3 linked regions of the Danio rerio genome follow. The main gene of each other region encodes a partner of the protein of the gene in region 2 in a complex. Links are inferred from orthologs where the notes say so. Each region holds a gene or a part of one and is shown on either strand. Other genes may lie near its edges.

What was found.
Region 1: flcn (region 2) and lamtor1 share a complex: the UniProt entries of both Homo sapiens proteins name them as parts of the lysosomal folliculin complex. The link is inferred for Danio rerio from reciprocal best matches to the Homo sapiens genes FLCN and LAMTOR1.
Region 3: flcn (region 2) and lamtor4 share a complex: the UniProt entries of both Homo sapiens proteins name them as parts of the lysosomal folliculin complex. The link is inferred for Danio rerio from reciprocal best matches to the Homo sapiens genes FLCN and LAMTOR4.

The regions. Positions count from the first base shown.
Region 1 is NC_133190.1:46,803,182-46,806,942, forward strand, and holds the start of lamtor1 (ragulator complex protein LAMTOR1), read right to left. Parts: upstream 2,355-3,761; 5' UTR 2,172-2,354; coding exon 2,130-2,171; intron 1-2,129. UniProt on the Homo sapiens protein: Key component of the Ragulator complex, a multiprotein complex involved in amino acid sensing and activation of mTORC1, a signaling complex promoting cell growth in response to growth factors, energy levels, and amino acids.
Region 2 is NC_133191.1:14,148,633-14,152,323, forward strand, and holds the start of flcn (folliculin), read left to right. Parts: upstream 1-806; 5' UTR 807-976; intron 977-1,020; exon of another isoform or gene 1,021-1,302; intron 1,303-2,923; exon of another isoform or gene 2,924-3,426; intron 3,427-3,691. UniProt on the Homo sapiens protein: Multi-functional protein, involved in both the cellular response to amino acid availability and in the regulation of glycolysis.
Region 3 is NC_133179.1:20,644,524-20,648,284, forward strand, and holds the start of lamtor4 (ragulator complex protein LAMTOR4), read left to right. Parts: upstream 1-1,398; 5' UTR 1,399-1,458; coding exon 1,459-1,461; intron 1,462-1,611; coding exon of another isoform or gene 1,612-1,647; coding exon 1,648-1,728; intron 1,729-3,072; coding exon 3,073-3,190; intron 3,191-3,761. Other genes in the region: atp6v1f (V-type proton ATPase subunit F), read right to left, coding at 838-995. UniProt on the Homo sapiens protein: As part of the Ragulator complex it is involved in amino acid sensing and activation of mTORC1, a signaling complex promoting cell growth in response to growth factors, energy levels, and amino acids.

The sequences.
Region 1 (3,761 bases), on a different chromosome or scaffold from region 2:
AGATCTGACACATTAGATCCAAATCCAACACAATTTACGACAAATCCCACAGAAACACCAGCTTTAGTTCATTAAAAAAACACACGTTGATGATCAAATATACATAAAAAAAGTAGCGTAACTGGAATAATTTTGACGCAGTTTTGACAAACACTCAGCATTGAGCTGTTCTTGAATCATAAACACACAACTGTATTAAAAATGTGTCGTAAGTAAATGTTGTTGCAGGACTACAGACGCTACATTAAGCTGCATTATTAGTGTTTTGGGTATTTGTCTGTACTGGACAGCATAACACCAACTTTTAGTGCAAACCCTACAATATTTAGACATTTTAATTTAAAACATTTTCACGTTTGGCTTCAGTTTATTATTTAAAACCAACTAAAATCATAACTGCATTAAACTGTATTAAAAGTGTGTCGTAAGTAAATGTTGTTGCAGAACTACAGACGCTACATTAAGCTGCATTATTATTGGTATTTTAAGTTATTTTTCAGCATTGGACAGCATAAAACTAACTTTTAGTGTAAATCCAACAAAATTTGCACATTTTAATTTAAAAACCTTTTCACGATTGGCTTAATTAATTTTTTTTTTTTAGCTCACTAAAATCAGAAATACTCCTCATATTTTCGTACAACTATTATAAAAACTCCCAGGCCTAAAATCCACTAATACAGTGGTTCTCAAACTGTGGTACGTGTACCACTAGCGGTACGCAGGCTTCCTTCTAATGGTACGCAGAGGAATCCTACATGTCACGTACAAGCAACATATATTTCAAAATTTATCAAAAATGGTTTGAATATGAATATGATGACATATAGCCTATTTATGAGGTCCAAGCAACATTTCCAGGTTTTGATAAATAGGACTTTACATTTAAGTACAGCAGTTTTTTTCTATTTAAGGACAGTAACCTACCATTTTTATTAAACCTTTAAAAGCACATTAATTTAAACGTTAACATTAATTTTTTTGTTTGTTTGTTTACATATAAGCAGAGTACAGTCTTAATGTTACTATTTATAATGTTTAAAGTGGCTTATAATAATAAATATCCTTAATAGTAGTAGTTATTTTACCACGTTATTAAACTGTGCAGAGCTGCAGCTGTTTTACTGGGCCTACTACGCTACTGTATTTCAATACCGGTCATTATGGTGGTACTTGGAGGAACAATCTTTTCTGAGGTGGTACTTGATGAAAAAAGTTTGAGAATTACTGCACTAATATATTTAACTATTCCATCATTGTGGAAACCCTAACACTACATTTCCCCAAACATTAGCATTAGCACATGTCAGATCTGACACATTAGATCCAAATCCAACACAAAACTCTCAATTTAAGACTATTTCCACCGAAACACCAGCTTCAGTTCATTACAAACACACGCTTATGATATAATATACATAAATAAAGTAGCGTTAGTGGATTAAGTTTGTTGTAGTTTTGACAAACACTCAGTATTGAGCTGTTCTTGAATCACAAACACACAACTGTATTAAAAGTGTGTCGTAAGTAAATGTTGTTGCAGGACTACAGACACTACATTAAGCTGCATTATTATTGGTATTTTAAGTTATTTTTCAGCATTGGACAGCATAAAACTAACTTTTAGTGTAAATCCAACAAAATTTGCACATTTTAATTTAATAAACCTTTTCACGATTGGCTTAATTTTTTTTCTTTTTCACTCAATAAAATCATAAATACTCCCCATATTTTCGTACAACTGTTATAAAAACTCCCAGGCCTAAAATGCACTAATATATTTAACTTTTCCATCATTGTGGAAACCCTAACACTACATTTCCCCAAACATTAGCATTAGCACATGTCAGATCTGACACATTAGACCCACATCCAACACAAAACTCCCAATTTAAGACTAACTCCACCGAAACACCAGCTTCAGTTCATTACAAACACACGTTAATGATCAAATATACATAAATAAAGTAGCGTTAGTGGATTAAGTTTGTTGTAGTTTTGACAAGCACTCAGTATTGAGCTGTTCTTGAATCACAAACACACAACTGTATTGAAAGTGTGTCGTTAGTAAATGTTGTTGCAGGACTACAGACGCTACATTAAGCTGCATTATTAGTGTTTTGAGTTACCGGATCCGTCGTCTCGCTGTCGCTGCTGAAACAGCACCCCATGATGGCCGCCCAGCGGGTTCAGTATCCTGAATTTGGGTTTTTTATTCGTCTCAGGAGCGTTTTTGAGGTTGTGTTTGCCTCTTGGCTGTGAAGAGATTTGCTGCAAACGCAGAAACCATCACATGACAGCACTCCCAATCGTGTCACGTGTCTTCCGTCTCCACACTGGCACGTCAGTTCCGCCCCAAAAACCCGTTAAAAACCTTCATAGATATATACATTAGATGTCGCCTGGCCTATTGTTGTCTATTGGACGGAATGCGTCAATAGCGCCGCCATCTTGCTACAGGGTAGCGCTCCTTTGAAATGAATGCAGGACCAAGGTACAGTGGAGGACTGTGGCCATCCAAAGCCAGAGATATACACATATATCTATGATCGGGAGTTTTCCTGGATGTTGTATGTAATTTTTTTTTTCTAATTACGAAAATTATAATTTTACATCACATTCCTGACAAAAAGCTTGTGTTTGTGTGTACAGAAATGTACTATCCACCCTCCCTGTTAAATTTGATCTAATCATGTCCTGAAACACAGCTCCTCTCCTGCTTTCACTTCTCATACTGACGGAGCGGGAGCGAGTTGGAGCTGCTTTGCCTTATGGTGAATGCAGTAAGTCACTGTTTTCATCAATAACGTTACCTGATTAGCACAAAAGTTCAGAACATACAAAAACAGAAAAAACTTTTTATTACCTATGGAATGTTCTGCCTTTGTGCTTTGTTTTCTGTTTTGCTCGCTAAAGTCCCGCATCTTCACGTAATAACACTGACTTGACTAGTGCGGTTGAATGACATTTGTACTGGGAGCACTGTACCAATGTGGCGGCGCTATTGACGCATGCTCAGGGTCCCTATGCGATATCTAGTGTGTGTATGTATGTATATATGGAATGTATATATGTATGTATATATATGTATGTATATATATGTATATATATGTATATATATATATGTATGAAAAACCTTTAGGAAACCTTTATGAAAAACCTTTAAGAAACATCATGCTTTTTTTTTTTTTTTTTTTTTGCAATAATAACAGTACTTTACAACAAATACAGATACAAAACTGAAAGTATGGTACAATCAATAGAAATATTACTTTTTGAAAAAGTGGAATGTAACAAATTTAGAACAAATATAATATAGGTAAATCAAAATAAAGACAACGAGAGAGAGAGAGAGAGAGAGAGAGAGAGAGAGAGAGAGAGAGAGAGAGAGAGAAATAATAATAATAATTAAGGGCACATGACAAAGATTAAACAAATTATTGCAGGATATTAAATAAAGCACATATTTTATAAGTTTTAATAGCTTTCTTATTGTGAGAGTCTGTGATGGGTTTTTTTTTAAATAAAGAGCTAGTTCTCGTTTAAAAAAAAAAAAAAAAATAGGCTTACAATGAGTATATTTGCATTTGTGTATAAAAAACTTTCCAATAAATAAAATGTGGTTTATGCAAAAAGTTGAATTAAGGAATTCTTTTCCTTTAATATAAAACCACAAAATAATATGTCTATAGCTTAAAGAAAAATCTCCACAAACCTTTTGGATAATTAGAGAGTTTACATTAGACCAAAAAGATTTAACA
Region 2 (3,691 bases):
TTTGCCATAATGTTCTACTGTAGTCGGTGTGACAAGAACATTAAGTTGAGATTATTATGACCTACCTCGAAGAAACCGAGAAAGTATCACACAACTTAGCTTGTTGACTGGTTAGTTTAAATGTTAACATGTACAGGATGACATCATCTGCCACAAATGACTCATAGCTAGTGTATATACACGGCTACGTGAATGATTAAAACCAATAGAAAAAAAACAGTGTAGATGAAAAATAGTAATTTTGAACATATTGTTTAGATTTCTAGTAAAGTGTACACTTATTTTTTTTATATATGTATTCATTATTTTCAATTTTACTTACTGTACTACCGGGACAACGTGCATAAACGCCACTTCCTGTTTGAAATGGAAGCTTGGGTATTGTAGTTTTTCTTCAGTGGAAGGTCCGAATTGTTTCCGCGAATCGATTCTTTTGCACAGTTCAATTTGGGCATATTTTAATTTCAATTTTGCACCTGATTTATGTATATGACATAAAATGACTCAAAAAAACATGGATTATGGTTTCATATGTTGTTGTTGTTAATGAAATATATTTATTGTAATTCAGTGTGTTGCACTGTAATTATGTTTATTCCAGCCAAATTGCATGACACGAACGAAACTTGCATTTAAAATGTACAATACTAAACATTAATTAACTAATTTTGCTGGAATTTTTTGCACATTTCGTTGCTAACTCGACTTCTTGGCCAGTGATTTGTAAATGAATATTCAGGTAAGATCTCATTAAGGCCTGCTCAACTGAATCATCAAAAAGATCCGATTCACCCTGAAGAAGATTCACTCAAGGATCAAGGCTTGCTCGAAGGCATTCGGGGATTACGGAAGAGCTCACGTCAATTACGAATATCAAAATATACCTCGTTCACCATGTAAAAAACACCAGAAGAACATTTTGGTGGATTATTTGGACTGTACCGATGGCTGTTCAGCGTGAGAGACAAGAGCAGCTGTGAGTCACGCACACACACGCGTTGTTGTGATCTAAGCGCGTGACTTTCCCATCACATGACACACAAGACTGAAAAGGACAACATAAACACAATAAAACTATTAATTACGATCGCGTTTCAGGATAAATTTACTAAGCTCTGTATCGATGAGAATAACGACCCATTTATGTTGAATAGTAGTTATACGTTAAATTGTAAGGAAGGCTGATGAACATGCAGAACCTGTAGATGGTTGCCATTGTCAACGCTTTGTAATGTAATGTTCAGTTGTTCATAATTTACTGTAAGTACCAGTCGGCGCTAAAGCTTCACGCAGCTAACACAGGTAAGGAACGTGTGTCTTTTTATTTAGGTTTGTGAATACATAAAAATGAACAAATATATTGTATACCTTTCTACATAACTAAGGCGTTATATTGTATGTTGTAACATACGTATTCTGGATTGTTGTATTTAAATTTGCTGATGACTTCCTTAATTACATTTGTTGAATGTTTTTTTTTTCACTCCTTTAACGAAATCTTAAGATTATGGATAAGAATAGGGTTGTTATATTTTAAATTTATTGAAATATGCTGTATGTAGAGTGATTAAAATCTAAAATCGCAAACTCAAACTGAGTAATAAAACAAACATTAAAATATGCCTATGTTATTATTTTACAACTAGTTAGTTAACTTTATTTTTAACTTTAATTGACAGTATGATGCTGGCTGGATATCTCGCAGTTAAAACTTTATATTCACTTTTTTTTTTATTATTTCATCTTTATTCCTCATAATACGGATTATTTCTCTGTCCATTACACATGTAAACATTATTTTCTACCATGACTTTATATATTTCTCTATTACATTTTTTTTTCAGAATTGATGAGTATTTCACAGCTGTAAAAATATCTCACAATCACAACATTATTTTTCATAAATGAAACTTTATTTCACATAAGCACCATTGTTCTTCTTTGTAAATCTTACATTTGCAAATATATCTCACAATTGTGACTTAATATCTTACAACCACAGCTGTGTGTCTTAGAATTGCAGCTTATTTTGTGTCTCACAGTTGTGAATCTATTTCAAAAAGTGCTAGTGGAAGTCACACAAGGATACTTTTGTATCAAATAGTTTATTAACATTGCAATACTTATAACATGATATATACATCTGTGATATTTCAACAATTGTAATATTTTGCACAGTCCTACAATAATCCCTCCTCAACACTGTGATGTGACTGTTTCAGTTATTGAGGTAGCACACATTTTGATGTCTAATAAATCTAAGGAATATTTAACAATGATGTAATATCTTATAATTATTTTATATCTTACAATTGCATTTTTTTCTCACAGTTTTGTCTTTAAATCTTACAATTTACAACCTTATTTCACAACATAATTCTGCCTTTATTTGTTATAATTGCAATTTTAATTATCATAATTGTGACTGTCTTAAAATTGCAGCTTTATTTATCATATTTACTCTTGTATATTTTACAATTACAAATTAATTTTATAGCAACTAAGACTTTATTTCTCACATTAATTGTGACATTGTTTCTCAATTTTAATTTTACTTGTCGTACTTGCTCTTGTATTTCTCACAATTGGATGCTTCTATTTAATATATCTTACAAGTGAAACTTTATTTCTTATTACTGTGAAGATGTCGAAATGCTATTCGCTTGTTAGGTCTACCGTCAAGCAACACAGCTTTCAGGTCCAAGCACTTTCATCAAATGGTACTAGTAGCAACACACAGAGCACAGTAATATTTTTGAAAGTTATGATAAATATATTTAGATCCATGCCTAATATCAGATGGCTCAGATGAATGTTTTTTTTTTGAAATTGGTAAAATATTGGTGGAAGTCCAGAGAACTTCAGCTTAGTCCTTGAATAATTGAGTCCCTGTAATTGAGTAATTGGTGGTACATTCCGCCGTGGTTCATTCTGACTTTGTAAGAAGCTTACTTTACCATGTGTTATATAAATAAAAAGTGGTCATAAACAAATATTTGCTCAATTCAAATGAGTAGTGACTTGGACCAGGAAACAGTATTCCATACATTATGATTTAACAAGCAGATTATTGTGCGGCTTTAAAAGGACAGTTTACCCAAAAATGACAATTCTGTCATCCTATACTTACTCTTTTCTTGGTTCAAATCATTAAGACTTTCTTTCTTCTGTTGAACAAAAAAGATGATATTTAGAAAAATGTCAAAAACCTGTAACCGTTGACTTTCATAATACTTGTTTTCCTATTATGGAAGCCAAAGGTTACACGTTTTCAGCTTTCTTTATTATATCTACCTTTCTGTTCAACAAAATAAAGAAACTCATGAAGGTTTAGAAGAACCACATGGTGAGTAAATAGTCAGTAAATATTCATTTTTGGATGAATTACCCCTTTAAACCACAAGTGTCGAAGCCAGTTCCTGCAGGGCCGCAGCCCTGCACGGTTTAGTTCCAGCCCTGCTTCAACACACTGAAGCTGCAATCACACTGCACTTTTCTCCCCATAGACTTACATTCATACGCACGCAAATGCGTCAGAATGGAAACGCAAGCTCGTGCGATAAGTTTTGCAGTATGCTGCATTGCAAACTTCAAGTTTGGTGAACTCTGACCTGCAAAATCACATCACGTGATTGCGTGAGACCTCTCCCGCTCTGACCTTTCTGCACAGAAATTTAAATCATGGAACAAT
Region 3 (3,761 bases), on a different chromosome or scaffold from region 2:
TCAAATAACTCTTCTGAAAATTAAATGCAAGCATGGGTGAAATTATAATCAAAATCAGACATTATTGCATATTTATGTAAATACCAAACTACATATTGACTTGGACTTGTACTTATTCATATAGACCATTTCATTGTGGTGATGACATTGGCCTATGCTTGATATCAAAGAAACAATTGAATAATAACTTAATTCTAAAAAAGCTATCATAACATTATTTATCAATAAGCAGGCTCTTTTTAGATTCTCGTAAGCTATAAAAATTAAAAATGTAAAACAGAAAATACGTTGGAACATTTGTTTTTGTTTACATTCCTCAAAATGATCTATCGTCAGAATAAGAAGAGATCAGACAAACATGTTCTTATATTTAAATTATTCAAAATTGATCAGTAGTTTGAAGAATAGTGACAAAGGATATTTAAATGACAATTGTCAATAGGGGCTGCACTGTAATTCATAATATTAATAGTTTGATATGTCTTTAATAGTTTCTTGCAAATATGATTGACAGTTTACTGGTGTATATAAAATATTGTTAAACTAAAAGACATTTAAGTGGGTTTCTTGACAAATTTAGGTAATTATTACTACATAAAAATAATTTATATATAAATGTTTTTTCTAAAATATTTGGCTGATATGATAGATAGATAGATAGATAGATAGATAGATAGATAGATAGATAGATAGATAGATAGATAGATAGATAGATAAACATAAATATTTTTTTAAAAAGCAAGTCTTCATCCATATATTTGTAATGACACATATTTGATAATTAGATTGTAATATATGATGTTGAGTCATTCAGACATTTAGGATCGTGTCACTTACTTGAAGGTCTCCTCTATCTCTGTAACGCTGGTTTCCTTCTCCACCACCAAGAAATTGGGTTTACGGTTTTTATTGAGCTCTCCGATCCCTCCGAGGAGAAATCCGGTGCACGTGTCTTCATCACCGATAACTGCGATTAATTTTCCTCGTCCGGGCATCGTGACTTTGTCTTATATTTTGCTCAAATAAAAGACGCAGAATGGACGAAATGTTTTCCGTTCAGCAGGATCATATGCTTTAATCAGCTGACCACTTCACTTCCGCTTTGCGTAGTCGCGTAAGCGCCTTATTTAGCTGATCTGAGATCTGTGCTGCTCGCGTTAACGACCGACCTGTGTGCGGTGATTATGACAGCGAATCTGATCCTGATACAGATTATTTTTTGTTAAATGCGAGAACAGCGCATAAATCCTAGCAAATTAAATAAAAATCCGCCACGTTTTAGTCATACTAAGATTTTTTATCACATTTTGTACGTTTCCAATGCATATAAACAAAAATAATGTCGAATAAGCAAAACATCTCCTGGAATGACGTTATAAACACGCGACGCTTGATGTCAGTCACGTGAGGCGGGGTGTGAAGGAAAACAGCAGTGTACATTTATCTGCACTGTCTAAAATGGTAAATATAATTCTTACCTTTAAAATATTTGTTTAATTAAATGTTTTTTTTATTAAATGTTTTGTTTTAGTGCATTTAGAACTTATAAAACAAAGATTTTGTAAATAATGTGATTGATGATGCAGTCTAATATCATATGAGCTCTGTTAGTGTTTAATTACAGTATTATCGTGTGTTGAATGTCAGACTACTGCTTTGACTCAAGGCTTGGAGAGAATACCCGATCAACTTGGGTACTTGGTTATTAGTGAAGACGGAGTACTCGCGGTAAGCTGTTAAAATTCATAACTTACATTTTCGGAGAACTTGACATGAGGGTGAAATGCGTTGAAAAGAGAATCCTGATTTGGGCAAATGAGAAATAATTAATTAGAATTCAATGTCTGTCAGTCTTATTGTTCTGTCTGTCTCTGTTTGCCTGTCTACACTTTGAGGCAAAATTATTACGCCTCTACTGATACATATTATTTAAAAAAAAATTCCCAAGTTATGATGAACTGAGCAATGACATTTTCACAGTATTTTCTATAATATTTTTATTCTTGAGAAAATTTTTTATTTCTTTTATTTTGTCTGGAATAAAAGCAGTTTTTAAATAAAAAAATAACAATTTTAATAGGTTAATAGGCCCTTAGAACAAAATAATGGTATTCAATGACTTGCCTAGTTAAACTTATTAACCAAGTTAAGCCTTTAAGTTACTCATTAAGATGAATTCTAATATCTTGTAAAATAACTAGCAAAATATTATGCAGTGTTATCATGGCAAAGACAGATTCTGTTAAAAAATATATATATTACAACTATTATTTTTAAAAATGTGTTGAGAAATCTTCTTCCTTTTGAACAGCCTTCATGAAAATAAATTAAAAAAGGAAAATATTTATTTATTGCCAATAATTGTGCCTTTAACTGTATCTATCTATCTGTCTGTCTGTCTGTCTGTCTGTCTGTTGGACACACCTGGCTCAAGGGGTTATCTCTCTCTCTGTCTCTTTCTATATATTCGATAGGTTCTATGTTTTAATCATATAATCAATTTATCATTTACAGTTGAGTCAGAATTATTAGCCTTGCTGTTTAATTTTAAATCTTTTATATTTTTCCCCAATTTCTGTTTTACAGAGAGATTTTTTTTCAACACTTTTCTAAACATAATAGATTGAATAACTAATGAATTTCTTTTATCTTCGCCATGATGACAGTACATACTATTTTACTACATATTTTTCAGGATAATAGTATTCAGCTTCAAGTTCAATTTAAAGGCTTAATTGGGTTAATTAGGTTAAGGAAGATACTTAGTTTAATTAGTAATTTAATTAACAATAATTTGTTCTGTAGACAAGTTAAAAAAATATATTGCTTGGGGGGGGGGGGGTAATAATAATTGAGTTAAAATGGTATGAAAAGCTGCTTTTATTCTGGCCAAAATAAAACAAATAAGACTTTCTCCAGAGGAAACAATATTATATGAAATAATGTGAAAATGTCCTTGCTCTATTAAACATAATTTGGGAAATATTTAAAAAAGAAAATATCATAGGGGGATTAATAATGACTCCACTTGTCTCAGTTAAGCAGTAAGTGAATGTTTTTTGTAATCTACAGTCGGCAGGAGAGCTGGAGAATGACGAGCACACAGCAGGAGTGATCATGCAGATGGTCCGAACAGCTTGTCGCTTCAGATTACATGGGACTGCAGAGCCCCCATTCAAGCGCATGTCTGGTAAGAAACGCACTTCATTTTTAGATAAATGCTGAATGATGATAGAACAATATTTCACTCATATTTTGTCATTTAATTTTCAAAAAATGTGATGTGAATTATTAAAGTAAACATGCTTGTGTAACATCAGGTTTATGTAATATTCAGATATCACTGTAGTATTAGTGTTTATTTGTAACATTAGGTTTAAGTATTATCCAGATATTTTTACAGTTTGAAATAGTTTTTATCTTTACATTTTGTGTTTTTTCTATTTAAAGTTTAAGCAATTTTGTTATGTATTTCTATCAGTTGTGTTTTTAAATAGGTCTGTTTAAAAAAAAAAAGGTTTTATTAGTTTTTATGGTTTCATGTGTAACCATTTTAAGTCTTTTTTTATCCTCTTGATTTTGTTTAGGAACAAAATAGCCCTAATAAAATAAAATAACCCTCTTTAATTTGTTGTTTTAATTAAATTTATTCAATAAGAAATAATTGATATATGATCATTTACTATTTTACAGTAAATCATTTTTACTTGCTGTGAAAATCCATAACTTCCAAACAAATACTGATATTAATGTATATTTTT